3 linked regions of the Elephas maximus indicus genome follow. The protein of the gene in region 2 interacts with the protein of the main gene of each other region in a pairwise test. Links are inferred from orthologs where the notes say so. Each region holds a gene or a part of one and is shown on either strand. Other genes may lie near its edges.

Region 1 (7,616 bases), on a different chromosome or scaffold from region 2:
TTGTGAGGTTAGTGATTTCTGGTTCTTCTAGCTCTGGGACCCTGGATAAATCACTGGCCGTCTTTGGGCTTGTTTTCTCATCTATGACTTGCTCACTACATACCCTCAAAGCCTAGAACAGTGAGTGCCTGGCACATGGCGAGCATTATTTACTGACTAAGTGAATATGTCCTAAGGCAACTGAATTAGGCAATACTAGAGTCCTTTCTAACCCTGGCAATTGTATGAGCTTGGGACGGGTTGAACACCTTCGGTTTAAAGGCTGTCCTTCTTTGCTCAGGCATCTGTTATATCATAGCAGGAACCGGAAATTATAGTTCCCTGTTGTAGAGTCTTATTGATAAATGAGGAACTTCCACCCTAGTCATCTGTTTGGAAGGATTCAAATACTTGCTTTGCACCCTGCTCTCTGCCCCAGGGCAAGCCTGGATTTCCTGGTAGGGCTAAGACGAGTTCGAGACTCTAGGATTTTATTCCTGGCTGACGCTGAACTGTCGTTTTAGACGGAGTCCTCTGGACTGGCAAGGAGTGAGGGGTTCTAAATCCAGTGGCGCTCTTCCTCCTTAGCCCTTCAGGAACACAGGACACGCAGCAGTCTCTGCTGTCACCTCTAACCTTGAGGTGTTACTAAACTAAACCCTAAAAATAAGGAGACAGTAAATCTAGACATTCCAATACTAAACTTGATTTACAACTCGGACATTGTAATAATGGTCTCTTCTCTCAAGGCTAAGACGGTAGTTTTAGAAAAGCTTGTTAAAATCATAAGTTGCTTTGAAGTACCAAGAAAATCATCAGCCAGTCTTGTGCTGAAAATCAATGTGCACAGACGTGGTTATTACTCACACAGAAATAAAGAACACCATTCTCTGCATATCCATTTCATCTTCACAAATATTACCACGTTGAAAAATCTAAGCCACCTGAGCTGGAGTCTCTCCCTAAGCTGATTATTACTTTTAGTTAAAAGCAACTAGCACATATAATTAATCCTGTTGTATTTTTTTACCTGGACGGATTTGAAATACTAGACATGTTACAGTAATGCATCACTAGAAACAATTACTCTATCCTATAGGAAGCAATATAAAAAACATGTTTAGCAAATAAAATCTACTTGATAGATTTATAAAAACATCTTAGCTAATTAAAGGCAGAAAGTCTGCTTCTAGATTCCCCAAATTTGAGATAAAATAAACTTCAGAGTTTTGGGATCAATTGCAACATACAAACCAAACTACTGTACAAACATGCATGTACGCATCATACAAAGGCATGCAAATCCACTCAGTCACAGACTTCTTCCCCACAGCAGGCGATCAGTAGAAAGGAGTTCCTTACCAACAGTCCTCAGTCCTATTCAAAACCACCTAAGTATTATAACATTTTATAACTAACCCTGCTGGATGGAGATATAACATCCAACTGTGACTAAATTTTTATGGAGACAAGTGATTGTAACACTTGTGCTAGTTTGGCAGTACTTGAAAGGCAACAGAGATACCAAATGTTACGGCTGACCAACAGACATCTCCCTGGAAAAAATCTCACTGCAGCAAAGGCAAAGCAGCTGTGAGTGGTAGGAAAAGGAAAGTTTGTTCTCCTACCTTTTTTCCCATCCACTAAACCAACCAGTAGCTGTGGAGACAATTCTCACTCCTGGCCATCCCATGTGTTTCAGAGTAATAATTTAATTTATTGTTCACAGTTTTGGGATCAGTTGCAATGTACAAACCTAACTACTATACTAACAGGCATGTACGCATCATACACAGGCACACAAATTCACTCAGGCACAGACCTCTTCCCCACAACAGTAAGTGGAAAAGGGTTCCTCCATAGGTTTTTCAATGGCTGTGATCTTTCAGAAGTACATCACTGGGGCTTTCTTCCAAGGCACCTCTGGGCAGATTCAAACCACCAACCTTTCTGATAGTAGCTGAGTGCTTAACTGTGTGCACTACCCAGGGGCTCCTTCATCCACTGAAGTCACAAGACGTACATTCTGAACACGGCAGAGAAGATGAACCAAGGCTGTGACCAAATTGACCAGTATTAAACAAGAACGCGCATCGTGAGCTCAATACTGATTTGATCTCTCACAATTCAGTTCTTCACAAAACACAAAAGCACCTTTTCGTGCTGGTCAGAAAAGTGCCAAATAGATTAGCCTCAATCTTGCCTAAGGAAATCTGTCCTAGGGTGTGCTGAGGACACCCAGTCCTCCCTGGCCCTTATGCTGCTGGACAACAAAACTGTCAGCCGTTGAGCCTGCCTGGAGGATCAGACACTTGTCCCTCAGGATTTCAACAGAACCAGCCAGGTTACAGGCAACAAAATGGCCTTCACAAACGTTTAAGAAGTCACATAATGAGCTTACCCAGTCAGAGACTTCCCATCTTTTACCTCAACCCATAGTTGATCTACATATGGACAGTCTCTGATTGTTATTAATACCAACAATAACAAAATAATAGTACCCAGGAGTCTCTAGGTGATGCAATCGGCTTTTTAAGGCAAGTCTCCAGACCTAGACACCAGCACATAGCTATCTTTTAAATATATTTTCAGGGAAGATATATCCTTTTCTTCAGGAACCTATTCCATTATTTTCTAAACTTCATGGAAGAAAAAGCTGTCTGCTCAGCATCTCTTCTGTGACACGGCATCTTGTGCTCTCGGTATAAAAGTTTTTGGAAATTCGGACACAACTGTTAAATTACTCCTCAGTCTTTCGGATTTTTGTGCCAACTGGAGCTGGACCACCCCTTGTAGGTGAAAACAAAGCAGCAGCCTAAGCCCAAGCCTGTAGCTCCCCAGGAAAACAGACATCCTAGCGCTGTGACTTTCCTCACCCTCATCCACGAGCCTCATACCTGGCCTTCCTCAGCAATGACAAAGGCATTTGTGACTTTCAGGCTGAGGTGCAATCTCCGAAATAACCAGCCTCTGCCCAGAGTTCCTAAAAGTTTACCGAAAAAAATGTTCCTGGCTGAGGCTGCGTAGCCCGGGCTGGGTTTACAGGAGGATGCCCTGCCTGGGCAAGCTCCCCGAGGCGACCCACACACAATCCCCCACCCACCCTCACCCGGGCCCACCGGTTGCAGCCACATAAAGGCGGAGCCCCAGGCACAGCGACCACCCCCAGGACCCAGGTTCGGCCTCAGACACACAGACACAGACACACACAGGCTTGCAGTCACGCACACCGTCACATGGACCTGCCCACTCGGGGCCACCCGTACAGTCACACCGACCGAAGCAGCCGCGCACCCTACACACGCCCCCAGCCCACTTCCCACGGCCTCGCCCACCCCTCACCTGCCGTGGTCAGCCCACGGCCCTTCCCCTTCAGGCCCGGCTCGGGCCGGGGAGGCGGCTGGCCGGGGAGTCGGGGGTCCGGGCCCGGCACGAGCGCTCAGGACCCGCAGGGCGGACGGCGGCAGGGGCGCGCTGCAGGGCCGGCCTCCGAGGGGCGGGGCGCGCAGCCGAGCGAGCCTGGGCCACCGCCTCCGCCGCCGCGCTCCCCCTCCCGCACCCTCCGCACAGCGGGCGCCGGCCTTGCGCTTCCGGGTTTGGCGGCGGGCGGGGCCACGTCACGAGGAAGGGGCGGGCCGCGTGGCTCCGGCGGTCTCCATGGTGACGCGGCGGGTTGGCGCCAGGGGTCGGAGGCTCCTAGACGCTCGCGGGATCCCGCCTAAGGCTGGGGCAGCGGGCGCCGCACCTGGCTGTGGCGTCAGGTGCTGACAGGTCTGTGTTGCCTCTGGGTCGGCTTTCGGTCGCCTGTACTGAGTTGGGCATCTAGGGGAAAGTCGTGGGAAAGAAGAGAGCGCTGGGTCCCCTGGGACCCGCTTCTGCATTCAGTTCGCGTCCACTTGGAGAAAGTAGGTGCCCGCCGTTTCCCCTCTGCCGTGTAAAGCTTGAGGGCATCCCCTTGGGTTCCAGGTTTTGGGGCACGGGGTTCTGTATACTCTTTTCCTGGCACGGTAGCGAGTGCCCCACCTCCCTTTCCAGCTGTGTGCTGACGTTCTGGGGGATTTCCGGAACAGGCTCCGAAGGAGCTTCCTGCTCCATCACTTTACCCTTAAGGGCATAGAGAATGTTGATGTACTTACGATCACTGTTCTCAAGCAAGGTCCTGGAAAAGTCACGACATCCTGTCAATAAAATAGTCGCAGGTTTGCATTGAAATAATGTATAAGGCTGAACAACATGTAAATCTCCCTGTATGATCTTGCAACAAGGTCCTGCTGAAAGTGCCTCTCCCTAATCTGCTTTACTGGAAGGCCTTCTTCAGACTTTGCCCTTACCCTGTCTAGTGTTCACAAAATTCAGGTCAGGGGACATGACTAGTAAATTGCGTCTTTAGTCATGACTTCTGTCCTCTCTGCCCAGGAGCTGTGGGTCCCAGTCTAGAACTTGGACAAATACCAAATGTATTTCCCAAGAGCACAGTGACACAGTCACCTGATTTTCTCCAAATCACCTCTTTCAGAATTCAGAGTCAGTCACAGGAAGTAATCCTTTATTATAAGCACCATATTGGCGTATAGGGCATGTTTCCAACATTAGAGGGCTTTTCTCAAAAATTTAGAATAGTTTAATGAATGGAATAGCTCTCAAATCACTCCTTGTATGTAAAACCCATTATGGAAACTCATTACATTTGTTCTCTGTCCCCAAGGTGGCCAGGAGCTTCTATGGAAAGCAAAGGCAACAGGGGTTCAGCCAGTGCCATAGGACATGTCCTAATAATTTATTTCCATTAAAAACCAAAAAAATTCACAAGAACTTTAAAGAGACACTGGAAAAATACAAAAAGACATAAGGTTTGTGTTAGCAATCAGGATAAAACAGAAAGAAGACTGGAACATTGGCACAGAAGTGGGAGGAAAGCTAAGAGTCACTTAGGAAATGGCCACTGGCTCAGTCTGACAGGGAGGCCAGGTACGTATATGAGAGTGTTGTATCCCACAGAGTCAATTCCCACTCATGTTGAATGAATGAATACGTGCATGCATGAGTGAATGAATAAATCCATCCACATGTATTCCTACGATTCCTTAGACCTCACATCCCTACACCTCACTTTAGTAACAGCCCTGATGAGATCTAAGCTATGGATTGACTATGCCCATAAATATTAGAAGTCCTTGTCTGTTAGGTTTGGTAATAATAATTTTGAACTTGACTGTTGATAATAAAAAAACATATCACTAGATAGCTATAGGGTCGCTATGAGTCCATTTGACTCAAAGGCAACAGGTATAAAGCTATGTTTTGTTATGTACCTACTTTTGTTACAATGTAAAAGATTAGACCCCAAAAATAATGACTAGTTTGCTTGTTTCCATTAGAAAAAGACCCCATGGCCCTGTTTGGATCCTCAGTTGTTCCATAACACATGACAACCAAACTGCCCATTTTCTAATCTGAACAAGGAACATTTAATACCTGGGAATTCCAGCTGTCCTGTAAGGCACAGCTGCCGGCAGCAAACTTTTGACCCAGGGTACACCACAGTGCAGGCCAACATTGTGGATGTTGCTGGGAGGGTTTGCAGCTGTTGTGGTTGGGGTCTACCAGATGGTTCCCACAGCACCAGTCCCTGTGTTAGAATCTCATGTGAAAACTGGAATGCTCACAAAATATGCTGTGAACACCAAAGTAAACATGGCCAGCTGGGTCTCAGAAGGGCTCAACTCCAAGCAACTGTGTTCACACATGCATAGAGTTTAAAACACACCTAAAAGACAATTCTAGATATATCTCTATGCATATATATACATCAGTGAATTTTTTTTTTTTTAATGTTGAAAAGCATACACACCAAACAGGATAGTGATTATCTTTGAGGAGTAATTGAAGGTAGGGTGAGGGGGTGGTGAAGAAATCTTTTGGCTTTAGATGTAGTATTTGAATCTGTATAAGAATGCATTCATGTATTTGTGTGATAAAAATAATAAAACGCAGCTATGTTCTACTCTGCCCTGTAGGGTCACTATGAGTTGGAATCGACTCAGTGGCAATGGGTTTGGTTTTTTTGGATGTTTGTGCGACTCCCTGGCTTTCAATACCACTGCCTTCAAACTAAAGTCCAAGCTCGTTTGAGCAGGTCAGGCTCTTGACCGACCTCTCTATGGGACCAAGGTACTCTCATCATACCAGCTGCTGCAAGGGTCCCAAATACCCCATGTGGTTTCACATGATATATGCTGTTTCCTCCAGTGAACCGCTTAGAGTGAATACCCACATTTTGCCTCCAGGAACCATGGATCTGTGAAAAAGTGAAAAGGACCCCACAGTCATGTTTGGGTCCTGAAGTTATTCCATATCACATGACAAGCACATTGTCCATTTTCTAATCCAAACAAAACCAAAACCAAACCAAACCTGTTGTGGTCGACTCATAGAAACCCTATAAGACAGAGTAAAACTGCCCCATAGAGTTTCCAAGGAGCGCCTGGTGGATTCAAACTGCTGATCTTTTGGTTAGCAGCCATAGCTTTTAACCACTACACCACCAGGGTTTCCTGTCCAAATAAGGAACATTTAAAATCTGTGAATTTAATATCTGTAACAAAACACTTGGTTTTTCAGACAAATACCAATTCTTGAAATACCTCTCTTTAAAGCTTCTCGAGGTGTGATTAACTGCAGTGTTACATACCAATTATGCTGAAACCCAAGACTGAAAATGAATGCAGCTCTGTGTCAAATGCACACTGCACTGGATTCTAGGGATCAGACAAGTGGGGATTCTGGAACTGCCCAAGAAAGATGCTGACATGGCTCTTCTTTAGCCTGCTACCTAAAGACCCCATCAAAGAGGAGTTATATACAGTTATTTATCATTGCTAATTAGTTATGATTGGGTAACTAAGAAACCTGAGTTCTTTCCCTGGGCAGACATTTCCTCTTGAGGCCTGACTTGACTTCCCTGTAAAAAGAGTCCAAGGATGGACTAAAAGGTCTCTAAGTCCTTTCTGATTCTAAGATCTTGTATTCTATAAATTTATGAGGAACGTATTTAAAAATCTTTGCAATAGCCTTTCCTTGAAAAACTTCTGTTAATCCCCCCTTTCTGATTTCCAATTAAACTTTAAAAAAATTAGCCTATACACAAAAAATGCCGATTTAACTGAAACAGTATTTTAACTTGTTGGAAGACTTATTGTTTGTTAACTGTTCACTTATTAAAATAGGAACTGCTAAGCAAAGGTGCCGAGTTTTTTGTATCATCTGCCAACCCAGGAGCTCATAATGTCCCTCCTGTAAAAGCTGGTAATTTGCCATCTTGGGATAAAAACAGCAATAAAGAATCTTGGAAAACAAGAGTGTCACTGTTTTAATACAAAATAAAGCAGCTTCTGACTGTAAGATTCTAGAGAATTATCGAAATTTGTAAAGGTAAAAAAAAGACAGTGATTAAGTTGTGACTAAAATGAGAAAAATCTTTTTGAAACCGGATAGTACAGTCCCTGCATATAACGGGCACTGGATTAGCATGTGTGCTCCTTCCTTAGCTTCTGAAAGCCAAAGTCTAACACCTTAAATTCCCAGATGAAGGATAAAAACATTTGCAAGTAGAGGCAGCGTATTAGAATGGTTAGGCC
Region 2 (8,068 bases):
TGTCATGTCCCTCCCGTGATTCAGATTCCTGCTCAAATGCCACTTTCTCAGAGGTCTTCCCTGACCATCCATCTAAAATGGCTCCCCTTTCCTAGCTTTCCAACAAAACCGTCCACTACTGTGCTACATAGTCCATAATCCCCTCCAGACATGAGTGGGTGCATGTGATTAGAATGCATGGTTCAAGAAATAAAAAGAACATCAGAGAAGAAAAACCAAACTAAACTCCCTGTTGTGGAGTCAGTTCCAACTCACAGCAATCCCACAGGGCAGAGCAGAACTGCCCCATAGGGTTTCCAAGGCTGTGATCTTTCTCCCGTGGAGTGGCTGGTGGGTTCAAACCACCAACCTTACAGTTAGCAGCCGGGCTCTTAAACCACTGCATCACCAGGGCTCCTAGCCACTAAATACTAATTTGCTATAGAATTTTCCCTTCTTGGGTTTTGCTTTAATCTTATTTCAGATAATTCGGTGTCGTTATTCTATAACAGCTTTATAATCCCAAATTCAAAATAAAATCTATGTCTCTACTAATTTAAATGGTTACCCTACAATGACAGAGAATAAACTTAAGAACAAATAGTAAGTGGTCTTTTCCGCTCCTCCTTTCAAGGCCCGTATGTTTTTGAATACGCTATCTATAGCCATCAAACATTTCTTTAGCATCAGCTCTTCGCTCCTCCCGCCCCAACCAAATGATCTTTCAGACTGTTTGCGGTGCCGACAACTCCTATCAGCCACATCGAACCCCGGGCCTTCCTAGTAGCAGCTTTCTGTTCTCTCCTCTAAAGTTTATTGCTTCATTAATATCATATTTGGTTTTCATACTTCTTTGCAATTATCCTCTTAATTGTGCAAGCAACTACCTGTCCCCCAACATAGTAACCCCTCAAATACTTAAAGTCTTCACGAATTCCCCCCTAATATTCTTTCTGTAAATACTCCAGGTCCTTCTAACTAATCCTTAAATGAAAGTCTCTCGACCTCTTACCAATCAGTTCACCCTACATTTTATTAACAACCGTCTTAAAATGGAGCATTTAGTACTGCATACAACACTCCAAAATCCACGCAGAATAGGGTGGATTGTGTTTCGTGATCTAGACGTTATGCTTGTCTTAATCCAAAATAAGAATACGGTTAGCTTTTTATCTCTGAATTCTCACAAGGGACTTCTCATGAAGACTGTCATTGACTGAAACCCCCAAAAAATGAGCTCTTCACCTGCTAGACAAATCTGCCCTCTTCACTCAGGAAGCAATTACTCAATACCTACTACGTACCAAGCTCTAAGTATCACTACTACTTCAATATAAGCAGGACCCTGGTTGCACTGGTAGCCTGAGAGTAACAGAGATCTTCCAAGAAATCGTAGCCTTCTTCTGCCTACGAGGTGTGTAAACCAGCTACATTGTACATAGCGATCAGTGCTTAACTTCAGTAAGATGGTAATATCTATTCCCAGCAGCACACTGAATAGTGCCTGACACACAATAGGTATCTAAATATTTGTTTTTGTTCCCTGGACAAAAAAAAATGAATAAGCAACGATAAAGTTCTGGTAAAGAGACTGGAAAAAGAAAGCTGTAATATCCTAACTCAAACCATCACATTGTCTCTTCCCTATGCGGAAACCCTGATGGCACAGTGGTTAAGATCTATGGCTGCTAACCAAAAGTCAGCAGTTCCGGTCCACTAACCACTCACTGGAAAGCCTACAGGGCAGTTCTACCCCGCCCTACAGGGTTACTGTGAGTCAATACAGGTTTGGTTTTGGTTTGGTTTACATAGCTAGAAGTGACTTACCATATCAACACACTCCCAAGTAAAAAAAATTCCTACGTTAAGTATATTTGATTAATGTCATTTTGCTTGATAAATGGGGTGATTATTGTTCAACTCCAATGGATCTAAAAAGTTAACTGCATCATCCTGGCTATAAATCTGCTTGCTTGCTGTTGTTTCCCATTGATTGTGACCTCCCTGTGGCCAGGAGCCAGGGCTTCTTTCCTAAAGCTGTCCCCAGTTTGTGAAGTCATCTTACAGCAACCACACAGGTATAGCAAACTGAGTGTGTCACAAAATTGTCCCTTTGAGAGGAAACCTTGTCCCTACATTTCTTCATGTAGCAGTAGAACTCTGGTCCTTTTTTCCCCAAGTTCAGGCATTATCAAGAGACTAGTATATGAACAACTAGCTCCTAGGACTGCTGGTGAGATCCTTAAAACATTCTGTTCTGCCATCCATCCTGTCCTTGCTTCACCCACCCTCAAGTCCAGAAATGACATGGCCACTAACTTAGAAAACTCTCCCTAAGTATCTTCCTTAACACTGCACAATAATGTCACAACCCCACGATCACTAAAAAGCCTACCCCCTGAACCAGTGGCCAAACCTCCAAATCGCCTGCTCCAATTCAGAGAGCAGCTCAGGCACCTCCACCCATGGCTGTCCAAGCGATTCCGACCGCTAGCAACGCCGCAGGACGGAGAACTACCCCAAGGCTGTGATCCTCACGGAAGCAGACCACCACATCTTTCTCCAGCAGAGCCATTAACCAAACACCAAACCCGTTGCCTTCGAGTCCGTTCTGACTCATAGCGACCCTACACGTCAGAGAACTTCCCCATAGGGTTTCCAAGGAGCAGCTGGTGGGTTCGAATTGCCCACCTTCTCGTCAGCAGCCTGAGCTCTTAACTACTGCGCCACCAGGGCTCCATACTTAATACAGTGCCTAGCCAGTAATAAACTCTTCAGTTAGCTGTTTCCACCGGGCTGGGTCTCCAGACGACGCTGGGTGAAGCACTGACCTAGCCACGGAACGAGGTCCAGTTATCGCCATGGGCGCCCCTGGGGTAAGGGGCACGACCACCCAGACGCCCCCACAGGCCCTCTCCTCTGTCGCGCGCGGCCAGCCCGGCCGCTCGGCCCAGGCACTTGCTGCCCCACTCTCCCGCGGAGCCCCCTCGGCCGGCCTCTCTGCCTCCGTGGCCCCGGGGGCCCCCACCTCCTCGCCCCGTTCGCGGCCTCCCCTCCCCCACGAGAGGCTCCGCCCGGCGTCCCCTCCCCCAGCCGGCCCCTCCCCCAGCCGGCCCCCTCCCCACGGTCTCCCCGGCCCCACCCGCGGGCCGGCGCTCAGAGAAAGGCCTTCCCAGCGCTTCCTCGTCTCCAGCGGCCATACCGACTTGCTGAGGCCGCTCTGCTGCCGCCACCGCCTTCGCGCAGGGCTCCTCCCGCCGGGCCGGTGCGGGACCGCCGCCGAGCTCTCGGGCTTCAGGGGGAGGCTACGGTCACGACCCGCTCTGCTGCCCTCCGCGGCCGCCGCACCCGCACGCAGGCTCGCTCGGGTCTTGGCCAATCGCGCGGACCCAGCAAGCCTAGCGCGAGCTCTGGCCCAGTACGTGGCAGGTGGGGGAAGAGGCGGGGCGGGGCAACAAGGAAAAAAACTCCTTTTGCCCCGCCTCTATGCGCGCGTTCTAGCTCAGGGCGCTTGCGCAGCAGCGTGAGGCGTGGGGCTGGCGTGCGCCGTGGCTGCGTCGGCGGAAGGATCACGGCTTTCTCACTGGATGACTAAGTATACAAATGTGAGCGGCGTGGATGCACGCATGCGCGGGGCGTGACCAAGCGCTTCCGCTTTTCCTGAAAGCTCGTATTTCCTGTCTCTCGCCTGGGGGCGGGACTGAGTGGAATGGTTACTTTTTTTCGAGAGCCGGTTGAGAGTGGAAGTTTATACAAATTTGAAGTTTTTTTTTTTCTGTTTTTCGTTGTTGCTGTCGTTGTTTTGTGACCACTGTAGTTCTAGTCACAGTTCAGAAAAAAACTGCTCTTTTTCCCGCATTCTTACAAATCCATTCATTCATTGTGAATGCCTACGCTTTGCCAAGCCCTGTGCTAGGGATGGGGGTGAATCAGTTTGTGAGCAAGGAGTTTTCAGTTAACAGGGAAGGCAGTGTTTCTGGGACAGGACAATCCTGTAAGTGCAGAGGCTGGGAGAATTAAGGCTGACTAAGCATTCCAGCTTCCAACTTCTACTCTGCCCTCTGGGTCGCTATGAGTCGGAATCGACTGGACGGCAATGGGTTTGGGGGTTTTGTTTTTTTGGAAGGATTCCAGAAGTCTTATTGGAGATTAAGGCATTGGAGGCTGCGCTACATCCTCTTGCCTTCTTCGCTTTAAGCGTTTGTTTTGGTTGCGCTTATTTATATAAGGAGTGCCCCGGCTCAGATTGAGCCCTAAATTTTGGGATGAAAGCTTGGGGGGAAAGTGCTGTTTTAAAAGTAGCAAGCAGCCTTTACGTTTGAAGGTAGAGACTAAGCAAATAGGTAAAGCGATTCCCTTCCAGTTGTTCACTGGATTCTCCTGAAGGAACTGGGGTAAAGTAAATTCAGGTGCTTCAGGATGAGAGCGATATTTCTATATGGTCTTTTTGGAAGTTATAAGTCTCGGAAAATTCTGTTTGAGAATGAAATGTGTGTTTAGAATGCTTTTTTGTCTGAATTATTGTATTTTGTCTGAATGGTTGTATGTATTGCTCTTTGAGCAGTTGCTTGCAGAGATTGGGGAGCAGAGCACAGCTGGAGGAAGGAAAGAAGTTCCTGATTTTCTCCAGAGACTCTTCTTCGTTTCCTGTTACTTAAAACAGAATAGTTCAGTGTTGGGAAACTGCGCTGTTTTCCCATAATGGTACACTGATGCCTTTGGGGGGTGATTTAGGATTAGGTAGAACATATAGGCAGAGGTAAAATATTCCCTGAAGGAACCAAATTATGCCAGAAGATCAGACCCTAGGGTAGGAGATAAGGAGATGAACTTAAGCCTGGAAATGAGGGGAGAAAATTCCTTTCTCTAGATCCCCTGGAGAAAAACACTCAAAAATTCTGTCAGTGAGAAGTAAGCTGGCCCTTTCTACACTGTGGCCCCCGGAAGCGACCAAGAGAGGTGCCCATAGGGTGGGTGAAGGGCTGAGGCTTTTGGACTCTGAGAGCAGTTTTAGGTTCTCTATGCTGTAATTTCCTCAAGCTTCATTCCCAAACCATCAATTAAAAGCCAAAAAAAAAACCCTTTGCTGTTAAGTGGATTCTTATAGTGACTCTTCAGGGCATGATAGAACTACCATATAGGGGTTCCATAGCTGTGTGCCACCGAAGCAGACTGCCACATCCTTTTGTGCAGAGTGGCTGGTGAATTCAACCACTGACCTTTCAGTTAACAGCTGAGCACTTAATCTCTGGCCACCAGAGCTCCTTAGCCATCTGTTAAGTCCTGTAATATTAAAACCTGTTCCCAGCTACCACTGTGGAAATTGAGAGGCAGGGTTGTGATTAAGCAGGAGCCACCTGAGGCAGGAAGTGAGCTACAGGAGAGCAAAGCAGCATTTGGGAGCCAGATCAGAGGTTCAGGTCACATGGGACAAAAAAGGGCATCTGTGCAACATTAAAGCATCTCCCCAGGATTCTCCAGAAATCTGTTTTAAATTTTTTTATGAAAAGTTTTATAAAATAGCTTGCTTCCTGCCATCTAGCTAGATGTAAGCTTACAGTATTGTGATTGGGCATGACCTCTGGGACATTTGAATTGTATGTCGTATGAGCTCACATATAGGGAAGCACACAAAATTATCATCTGGGTTTGTCATATTGCCCCCAATAGGTTGTGAACATGAGACAGGGAAGAGATCGGGCTGGCTGAAGTAAATAAGGGTTATGTTTCAAGGCCCTGAATTTTGTGTTTAGCATTCCCTTTGATTGTTTTTCAATCTTGAATATAAGCTGTTGTCCTCGAGTCTATTCTGACTCACAGTGATCCTATAGGACAGAGTAGAACTGCCCCATAGGGTCTCTAAGGAGCAGCTGGTGGATTCGAACTGTTGACCTTTTGGTTAGCAGCCAAACACGTAACCACTGCGCCACCAGGGCTTCAATGTTGTATATGGTCATATATGTGTATGCTTAACCAATATGTTGTTCAATTCAGTTTTACTTATTTATGGACATCATCTAGCATATCATCTGTATGCAGTTTTCTGACATAGTTTTTGCCTTCAATATTATGGTTACTAAGATTTTTAAGATAAATCTATCGTGTTGCATGTAGCTGGAGTTCATTTATTTTCACTGCGGAAGAATATTCTTTGGGTGAGTACATATACCACAAATTTTTTTGTCCGTTCTCCTATCAAAGGGTATTTAGGTTGTTTCTTGTGTTTTACACTGTGCTACTATGAACATTCTTGTATATGCCTTTATACAAGAGTTTCTCATGGTGGTATACTAATGCATGGATTGCTAAATGGTAGGTTATGTAAATATTTAACTGCTTAAGATAATGCCAACCCTTGGTATTGTTTTTTTAGTTTGGGTATGGAAATGGTATCTTTTTGTGGTCTTTATCGAGACCATAAAGACCACAGTATAACTCTGGTTGTATGTACCAAATATTTGACAATTGGACATTTAGTTCTATATGAAATCTCTTGTAATTTTTCTGTATCCTTACTTAGCTTTTTATGTTTGGGTATTTTGTCTTCTTAGCTTCCCAGCTTGAGTGCAGTCATTATATTCTCTCTTTCCCAGCATCTGGCATTGTGCTATGTGAATAGTAGGCAGTCAATGAATATCTGCTGAGTCAATGAAATGGTTATTACTATTTCTGTAATGTATATCCACAGTCGCTGATACAGGTCTCTGTACTCAGGCTCCCAATAAATGCAGGTGATAACTGACCATAGAGATAACCTGAATTGAATCAGTCACCACCCTTACCAAGAACACAGTTTCTCCCACTGAACGTGTAGACACTGATTTTAGTTACTGCTGCCTTTCCTTAGTGAAGCCAAAAGGGCGAAGTTATCATATAATTATCACTTACTAAACACTTATGGTCACATTTATTGGGCATAAACATCAAACCTATCATTCAGAAGATCATTCTAGGGCCAGGTGTTCTATAAGTAATCACCTTTAAACTTCTGTTAGTCAGGAGACATGTTACCCTTTTCTTTTTAATTGGAGCTGATTAAGGTACTGAACTAGAGTAAATTGAACTTCATGCTTATCCTGCCTTCTGTCCTACATTGAGGTGAACTTGATGTTAATTTGAGGTGAATAACCTTGAATCAGAAAATACTGCTTAATGGTGCTATGCGAAAGCTGAGAATATGTGAAAGACAGAAGCAGTGTATGGAGACACCTTTGACCCAGCCAGTTGCAAGGAGAAAGATGAGGCTGTGCAGTTCAAAGGTTACTTTCCACCTTCACTGACACCTGAAGAAGTATTAGAGTCGTAGTGTAGTTCTGAGAGAGGCAGTCATCCTCAATTACCTACCATGTGCTCTTTCTCCCTGAAAGCCCGTCTGGCTAGAACTCATGATATGGAAAGATCCTAAGAATGACAAAGGGGCTGTCTTAGTCTCTTAGTGCTACTATAACAGCAATACCACAAGTGGGTGGCTTTAATGAACAAAAAATTTATTTTCTCACGGTTTAGTTGCCAGCTTAGGGAAAGTCTCTCTGTCTCTGCTCTGGAAGAAAATCCTTGACCTAGCTTCTCTAGCTTTCTTCTTGGTGTTCGTTGGAGATCTCCATGTGGCATCTCTCATTCCCCCGTTCACTCTTGCTTGCTTGTCTGTGCTTCTGTGCCTTTTCTATATCTAAAAAGTGAGTAGGTTCAAGACACACCCCACACTGATAATGCCGTCATTAACATAACAAAGAAAACCCTATGACCAAATGGGACTATATTCTCAGGTATAGGGGTTAGGACTCCAACGCATTTTTTGGGTGGACAGAATTCAACCTGTAACAAGAGGATTCTAAGTGAATGGGAAATGGGACAAAGACTGTGAGTCTTGTAAATAAATTAGATGAAACCTGTGTTTCGTCATGTTCTTCTTTTATAGTCAGTATAAATCATTTCGAAGATTTCTGTCATTCAGCTATCCTCATGGGAACCAAAGAAATGGAGATCTAAGTCCCTCCTTGGGTGAGAATTTCAAAAGAGAAGTTATGTCTTTCCATGCAGACCGAATAGGGGCCAGTCGGTCAGCTCCACCTCCCTTCCACTGGTTAAA
Region 3 (7,427 bases), on a different chromosome or scaffold from region 2:
GGGCCCGGTCCTGCACCACTCTCACAACTGTTGCTAGGTTTGAGCCCAATGATGCAGCCACTGAGTCAATCTATCTCACTGAAGGTCTTCGTCTTTTTCACTGACCCTCTACTGAAAAAAAAAAAAAAAAAATTTTTTTTTTTTTCTCTACTTTACCAAGCATGATGTCCTTCTCCAGGGACTGGTCCCTCCTGATAACATGTCCAAAGTAACCTGAGACAAAGTCTCACCATCCTCGCTTCTAAGAAGCATTCTGGCTGTACTTCTTCCAAGTCAGACGTGTTCGTTATTCTGGCAGTCCATGCTATATTCAATATTCTTGGCCCAGCACCGTAATTCAAAGGCATCAATTTTTCTTTGGTCTTCCTTATTCACTGTCTAGCTTTCACATGCATATAAGGTGACTGAAAATACCATGGGTTGGGTTAGGCTCACCTTAGTCCTCCAAGTGACATCTTTGCTTTTTTAACACTTGAAAGACGTCTACTGCAGTAGATCTGCCCAATGTACTATTGTTTTATTTGAGTGCTGCTTCCACGGGCATCAATCCAAGTAAAATGAAATCCTTGACAACTTCAGTTGGTCCAGTTGTGAGAAATGACTTCTTTATGTTGAAGTGTAATCCATATGGAAAAAGAAAACCCCCAAACCTGTTGCTGTCAAGTTGATTCCTACTCGCAGTGACCCTATAAGACAGAGTAGAACTGCCCATAGGTTTTCCAAGTAGTGGCTGGCAGATTCGATCTGCCGACCTTTCGGTTAGCAGCCAAGTGCCACCAGGGTTCCATACTGAAGGCTGTAGTCTTTGATATTCATCAGTAAATGCTTCGAGTCCTATTCACTTTCAGAAAGCAAGGCTGTGTCATCTGCATATTGCAGGTTGTTAAGGAGTCTTCCTACAATCCTGATGCCCTCTTCTTCATATAGTCCAGCTTCTCAGATTATTTGCTCAACATACAGATTGACTAACTACGGTGAAAGTATACAACTCTGATGAACCACGTAGTATCGCCTTGTCCTGTTTGAATGAGTGCCTCTTGGTCTATGTACAGGTTCTTCACGAACATAATTAAGTGTTCTAGAATTCCTACTCTTCATAACGCTATCCATAATTTATTATGATCCACAGAGTTGAATGTCTCTGATGGTCAATAAAACACATATAAACATCTTTACAGTATTCTCTGCTTTCAGCCATGATCCATCTGATATGAGCAATATTTCTCATTCCACGTCCTCTTCTGAATCTGGCTTGAATTTCTGGCAGTCCACCGTCGATGTACTGCTGCAACCATTTTTTTAGTTATCTTCAGCGAAATTTTACTTGTGTGTGATATTTATGATAGTTTGATAATTTCCATATCCTGTTGGATCACTTTTCTTTGGAATGGATCTGGTTCTCCAGTCAGTTGGCCAGGTAGCCGTCCTCCAAATTTCTTGACATAGAGGAGTGAGCAACTCCAGTGCTGCATCCATTTGTTCAAACACCTCAACTGGTATTCTGTCAATTCCTGAAGCCTTGTTTTTCCGCCAATGCCTTCAGTACACCTTAGACTTCTTCCTTCAATACCATCAGTTGTTGATGATATGCTACTTTCTGTAATGGATGAACCCAGATCAATTCTTTTTGGTACAGCAACTTTGTGTACTCCTTTCATCATCTTTTGATACTTCCTGCATCGTTCAGTATATTACCCATAGGATCCTTCAATAGTGCAACTCGAGGCTTTTCCTTTAGTTCTTTCAGCTTGAGAAATGTAGAATATGTTCTTTCCTTTTGCTGTTCTAACTCTAGGTGTTTGAACCTTTCATTATAATACTTTATCTCCTTGAGCCACCCTCTGAAATCTTCAGTCGAGCTTTTCTACTTCATCATTTCTTCCATTCGCTTTAGCTACTCTACATTCAAGAACAAATTTCAGAGTCTCTACTGACATCCATTTTGGTCTTTTCTTACTTTCCTATCTTTTTAATAACCTTTTTATTAACTGATCCCCACTTAAAGTGAAGAGTCAAACCTATTGCCACACAAATATTAATGCTGGATTATCAGGTTGTGGAAACCCTGGTGGCGTAGTGGTTAAGTGCTACGGCTGCTAGCCAAAAGGCTGGCAGTTCGACTCTGCCAGATGCTCCCTGGGAACTCTATGGGGCAGTTCTACTCTGTCCTATAGGGTTGCTATGAGTCGGAATCGACTCGACGCCAGTGGGTTTTATCAGCTTGTTGTCCCTTAGCCCTGCCGGGAGTTTTATTACACACCTAGGCACCATATTATCTTTCTAAAATCTAAAAATTTCTGAATTCCAAACATAGTGACCCCAAGGGTTTGGGTTAAGGGACTGGGGGCAGATATTACCATTCTGCCTGGAGAGAGGAAAAGAACAACTAAGTCTGTGAGGCAGACTAGTTTTGACTAGGAAGCAAGAAAAATACCTATTCTTCTTGCCCAAAGAACACTACTGAACAAATTCCTTCTGAAGGCTACCTGTACTGAGGTTTTCAAAACAGGGCTTTATAACCATCAAGTGTACAAGTGTGTAAAAAAATTTTCAGTCAAGTGAAGTTAGTTTGCTGCTGCATTAGCACCTATTGTCTATTCTTGGTTTCCGAGGTCAAAGACTAGGCTAATTATATAAACTACAATGCACAATATGGGCTCCTCAGCCCGAAAGAGTCTTACAGAACTCAGCACCTCTGGTAGTTTCTGTCATGGCGATTCATCTGATGTATCTGTTAGCAACTCTTCTAGTCAGAAATAAGCACAACGTTGTCACAACTGCGAAATCTTAAATAAGCGCCAGAGATTCCTCTAAGGCTCGATGCGAGTATTTCGCTCCCTTTTCGTTAGAAATTAATGAATTCAGAGGGTCAGGGCCAAGGGGCACGAGGCTGGCAGCCCTTTGGGACCAAATGAACAAAGAGAATGCGGGATTGACGAGAGCGAACCGGCCACGGAGCGGGTCGCGCTCGCCGAGTCGGGGTGGGGGAGGGGCAGGCCAGCTACCCGCCTCCTCCCCCGTCCCCCGAGCCAGGCCTGACATCGAGGGCGGACAAACCCGCCGGGCGTGACGTCACCGGCCTCCGACGCCTTCTCCTTGGGGGTGATCCGGGAGGCGAACCCGCAGCGGGGTGGCCGAGAGAATCTTACGTGAGGAACCACAGCCCAAGCACTGGAGATGACTCAAGGCACCTCGGTTGCCGCGCCCGCCTCCCGCTTGGGCGCGCCCGCCAGCCCCTCAACCTGAGCTCCCCCGCCACCCTCTACCACCATCACTAGCGCCGAAGCAGCCTCACCCGGCAAGATCCGACCCCGAAACAAAGTCTAGAGGCGACGATGGGTCCCAGAGAACTGGGCGCTGAAGAACCGAACGCAGCCTGACTGACGACAGCAGCAGCTACAGCACTAGCGGCGCGCGGCTCCTCCTGGCGCCGGAACAGGAAGCGCCTCACGCCTCGCGCGCTGTCCCCGCCTGCGCTCCTCCTCCCGTCGGGCTGGGCCGCGCGCGCCCCCTCAGGCCCCCGGCGGCACTGCGGCTCCCCCTAGCGGCCGTAGTGGAGCGGCTGTTCTCTTGATGCAGCGGAAACTTCCTCGGTTTTCCGGAGCTCTGAGGACTCGGAGGAAACGCTTGTGACTGGTGAAGTTCAGGGCAGCCAGGCGGAAATTCCTGATTTGTTGCGTTGAGTGGCTTGAGGGCAGATTCTGGATTCCCTGCACTCAGCGGTTTTTACAGCCAGGCCTCGAAGCTGGCTAGGTGTGTATGCAGCCAATTAGCGGCCCGATTCTGGGAGACGCAGATACCCTCAGTCAAAATTGAGAAGAGCTAAAGGAACAATGCAGAAAAGGGAAGACGTTTGGAAACGGATTGATAATTGATATTAACTAAAGGAACAGTCATCTTTTCAGATTTTTCCTGATCCATGTTTTTCCCCACACCTTCTTTATTGAATAAACATTTATTAAACATCTACTCTATCAGACCCAAAGAGTGATTAGGACATGGCCCTAGTCATCAGGAGCCTGCAAGCTAGTAATGAAGATGTCATAAGTATATGGTGTGCAAAAAATAGCAAGAGCTAGATATTTAGCCGAGAGACTATGGCCCTGAAATACCCTTCTAACCTGGAACTATTTCCGGAGGCCACTTTCAGGCCAAACTAGAGAAAAGCCCATAAAATAAACAATAACACCAGAGAGGAACGTGTTACTTACAAAAACAATAATCAATTATAGGTGATCAAAAGGGCAACATTTGCCCAAAGGCAAGGATGAGAAGGCAGGAAGGGGTAGAAAATTAGGACGAAAGGAAACAGAAAACCCAGAGCAGAAATGGGGAGAGTGCATGACATGTGCTGGGGAATGAAACCAAGACCATGAAGCGATTTATGGTGCAAACTATGAAATGGGAATATAATTTGCTCTGTAGGCTTTCACCTAACATACCAAAAAGCAAACAACCAAAAAACAAACAAAAAAACCAAACTCATTGAATGCTACACATAAAGTGAATACATTTTTACTGTATGTAAATTATATTATACTTCAATAGTCTATTTTTAAAAAATAAAAAAAACAAATACAGGCATGCCTACTTTTACTGTGCTTTGCTTTATTGCACTGCACAGATACTGCGTTTTTTTTTTTTTTTTACAAATTTAAGGTTTGTGGCAACCCTGCATGGAGCAAGTCTATTGGAGCCATTTTTCCAACAGTATGTGATGACCTCCTGTCTGTGTGTCACATTTTGGTGATGCTCACAATATTTCAAACTTTTATTTTTACTGTATCTGTTATGCTAATCTGTAATCAGTGATCTTTGATGTTACTACTGTAATTGTTTTGGGGCACAGCAAACCACGCCCATATAATACTTTGAACTTAATCGATAAATGTTGTGTGTGTTCTGACTGCTCCACCGACTGGCCGTTGCCCCATCTCTCTCCCTCTCCTAGGACCTACCTATTCCCTGAGACATGACAATATTGAAATTAGGTCAATTAATAACCCTACAATGGCCTTTAAGTGTTCAAGTGAAAAGAAGAGTTACACATTTCTCACTTTAAATAAAAAGCCAGAAATGATTAGGCTTAGTGAGGAAGGCATGACGAAAGCCAAGACAGGCCTAAAGGTAGGCCTTTTGCGCCAGTTAGCCAGGTTGTGAATGTGAAGGAAAAGTTCTTAAAGGAAATCGAAAGTGCTACTCGAGTGAACACAGGAATGATACCAAAAACTAAAATCAACTGCCATCGAGTTGATTCCAACTCATAGCGACCCCATAGGACAAAGTAGAACTGCCCCATAGAATTTTCAAGGAGCACCTGGAGGATTTGAACTGCTGGCCTGTTGGTTAGCAGCCATAGCACTTAACTACTCTGCCACCAGGGTTTCCAAAGGGAAATAGCTTTACTGCTGACACAGAGAAAGTTTTAGTGGTCTAGATAGAAGATCAAGCCAATGACAACGTTCCCTGTCACAGATTGAATTGTGTCTCCCAAAAATATGTCAACTTAGCTAGATCATGATTCCCAGTATTGTGTTGATTGACCACAATTTTGTAATCTGATGTGATTTTCCTATGTGTTGTAAATCCTGTCTCTATGATGTTAATGAGATGGGATTAGCGGTAGTTATGTAGACTGACTCTACAAGATTAATCTACAGTTTAAGCCAATCTAGTCTAAGATATAAAAGAGCAGAGAGACAGGGGGACCTCATACCACCGAGAAGCAAGAGCCAGGAGAACAGTGCATCCTTTGGACCTGGGGTCCCTGTGGTGAGAAGCTCCTCAACCAGGGCGAGATTGATGACAAGGACCTTCCCCCAGAGCCTACAGAGACAAAAAGCCTACCCCTAGAGCTAGCACCCTGAATTCAGACTTCTAGCCTTATAGACTGTGAGAGAATGCATTTTTCTTTGTTAAAGCCATCTACTTGTGATATTTCTGTTATAGCAGCACTAGAAAACCAAGACATTCCTTTAAGCCAAAGCCTAATGAAGAGCAAGGCCCTAATTCGCTTCAATTCTATGAAGGCTGAGGGAGGTGAGAAAGCTGCAGAAGAAATGTTTGAAGCTAGCACAGGTTGGTTCATGAGGTTTAAAGAAAGAAGCCATCTCCATAACATAAAAGTGCAAGGTGAAGCAGTACGTGCTGATGTAGAGGCTGCAGCAAGTTATCCAGAAGATCAAGCTAATTGGTGAAGGTGGCTACAGTAAACAACAGATTTTCAGTGTAGATGAAACAGCCTTATACGGGAAGAAGACGCCATCTACGACCTTCACAGCTGAAGAGAAGTCAATGCCTGGGTTCAAAGCTTCAAAGGACAGGCTGACTCTCTTGTTAGGGGCTAATGCAGCTGGTGACTTTAAGTTGAAGCCAATGCTCATTTACCATTATGAAAACCCTAGGGCCCTTAAGAATTATGCTAAATCAACTCTGCCTGTGCTCTATAAATGGAACAACAAAGCCTGGATGACAGCACATCTGTTTAAAACATGGTTTACTGAATATCTTAAGTCCACTGTAGCAAGCTACTGCTCAGAAAAAAAGATTTGTTTCAAAATATTACTGCTCATTGACAATGCACCTCATTGCCCAAGAGCTCTGATGGAGATGTACAAGGAGATTGATGTTGTTTTCATGCTTGCTAACACAACATCCATTCTGCAGCCCGTAGATCAAGGAGTAATTTTGACTTTCAAGTTTTATTATTTAAGAAACACAGTTTGAAGGCTATAGCTGCCATAGATAGTGATTCCTCTGATGGATCTGGGCAAAGTCAATTGAAAACCTCCTAGAAAGGATTCACCATTCTAAATGCTATTAAGAACATTCATGATTCATGGGAGGAGGTGAAAATATCGACATTAACAGAAGTTTGGAAGAAGTTGATACCAACCCTCATGCTTGACTTCGAGGAGTTCAAGACTTAGTGGAGGAAGCAACAGTAAATGTAGTGGAAATAACAAGAGAGCTACAATTAGAAGTGGAGCCTGGAGGTGTGACTGAATTGCTGTAATCCCATGATAAAACTTTAACTGATGAGGAGTTGCCTCTTACGGATGAGCAAAGAAAGTGGTTTCTTGAGATGGAATCTACTCCTGGTGAAGATGCTGTGACCATTGTTGAAATGACAACAAAGGGTTTAGAATATTACCTAAACTTGTTTGATAAAGCAGCAGCAGGGTTTGAGAGGATTGACTCCAATTTTGAAAAAAGTTCTACTATAGGTAAAATGCCATCAAACAGCATCACATGCTACAGAGAACTCTTTCATGAAAGGAAGAGTTAATTGATGGGGCAAACTTCATTGTTGTCTTATTTTGAGAATTTGCCACAGCCACCCCAACCTTCAACAACCACCACCCTGATCAGTCAGCAGCCATCAATATTGAAGTAAGACCATCCACCAGCAAAATAGACTATTACGA

Evidence for each region.
Region 1: the proteins of TFG (region 2) and SPG21 interact in binary tests that used the Homo sapiens proteins (3 or more experiments, as listed by UniProt). The two-hybrid records come from large-scale screens. The link is inferred for Elephas maximus indicus from reciprocal best matches to the Homo sapiens genes TFG and SPG21.
Region 3: the proteins of TFG (region 2) and MAPK1IP1L interact in binary tests that used the Homo sapiens proteins (3 or more experiments, as listed by UniProt). The two-hybrid records come from large-scale screens. The link is inferred for Elephas maximus indicus from reciprocal best matches to the Homo sapiens genes TFG and MAPK1IP1L.

Annotation. Positions count from the first base shown.
Region 1 is NC_064831.1:55,136,943-55,144,558, forward strand, and holds the start of SPG21 (maspardin), read right to left. Parts: upstream 3,456-7,616; 5' UTR 3,322-3,455; intron 1-3,321. UniProt on the Homo sapiens protein: May play a role as a negative regulatory factor in CD4-dependent T-cell activation.
Region 2 is NC_064836.1:71,531,114-71,539,181, reverse strand, and holds the start of TFG (protein TFG), read right to left. Parts: upstream 3,374-8,068; 5' UTR 3,182-3,373; intron 3,021-3,181; exon of another isoform or gene 2,811-3,020; intron 1-2,810. UniProt on the Homo sapiens protein: Plays a role in the normal dynamic function of the endoplasmic reticulum (ER) and its associated microtubules. Required for secretory cargo traffic from the endoplasmic reticulum to the Golgi apparatus.
Region 3 is NC_064828.1:67,342,258-67,349,684, reverse strand, and holds the start of MAPK1IP1L (MAPK-interacting and spindle-stabilizing protein-like), read right to left. Parts: upstream 3,456-7,427; 5' UTR 3,296-3,455; intron 1-3,295.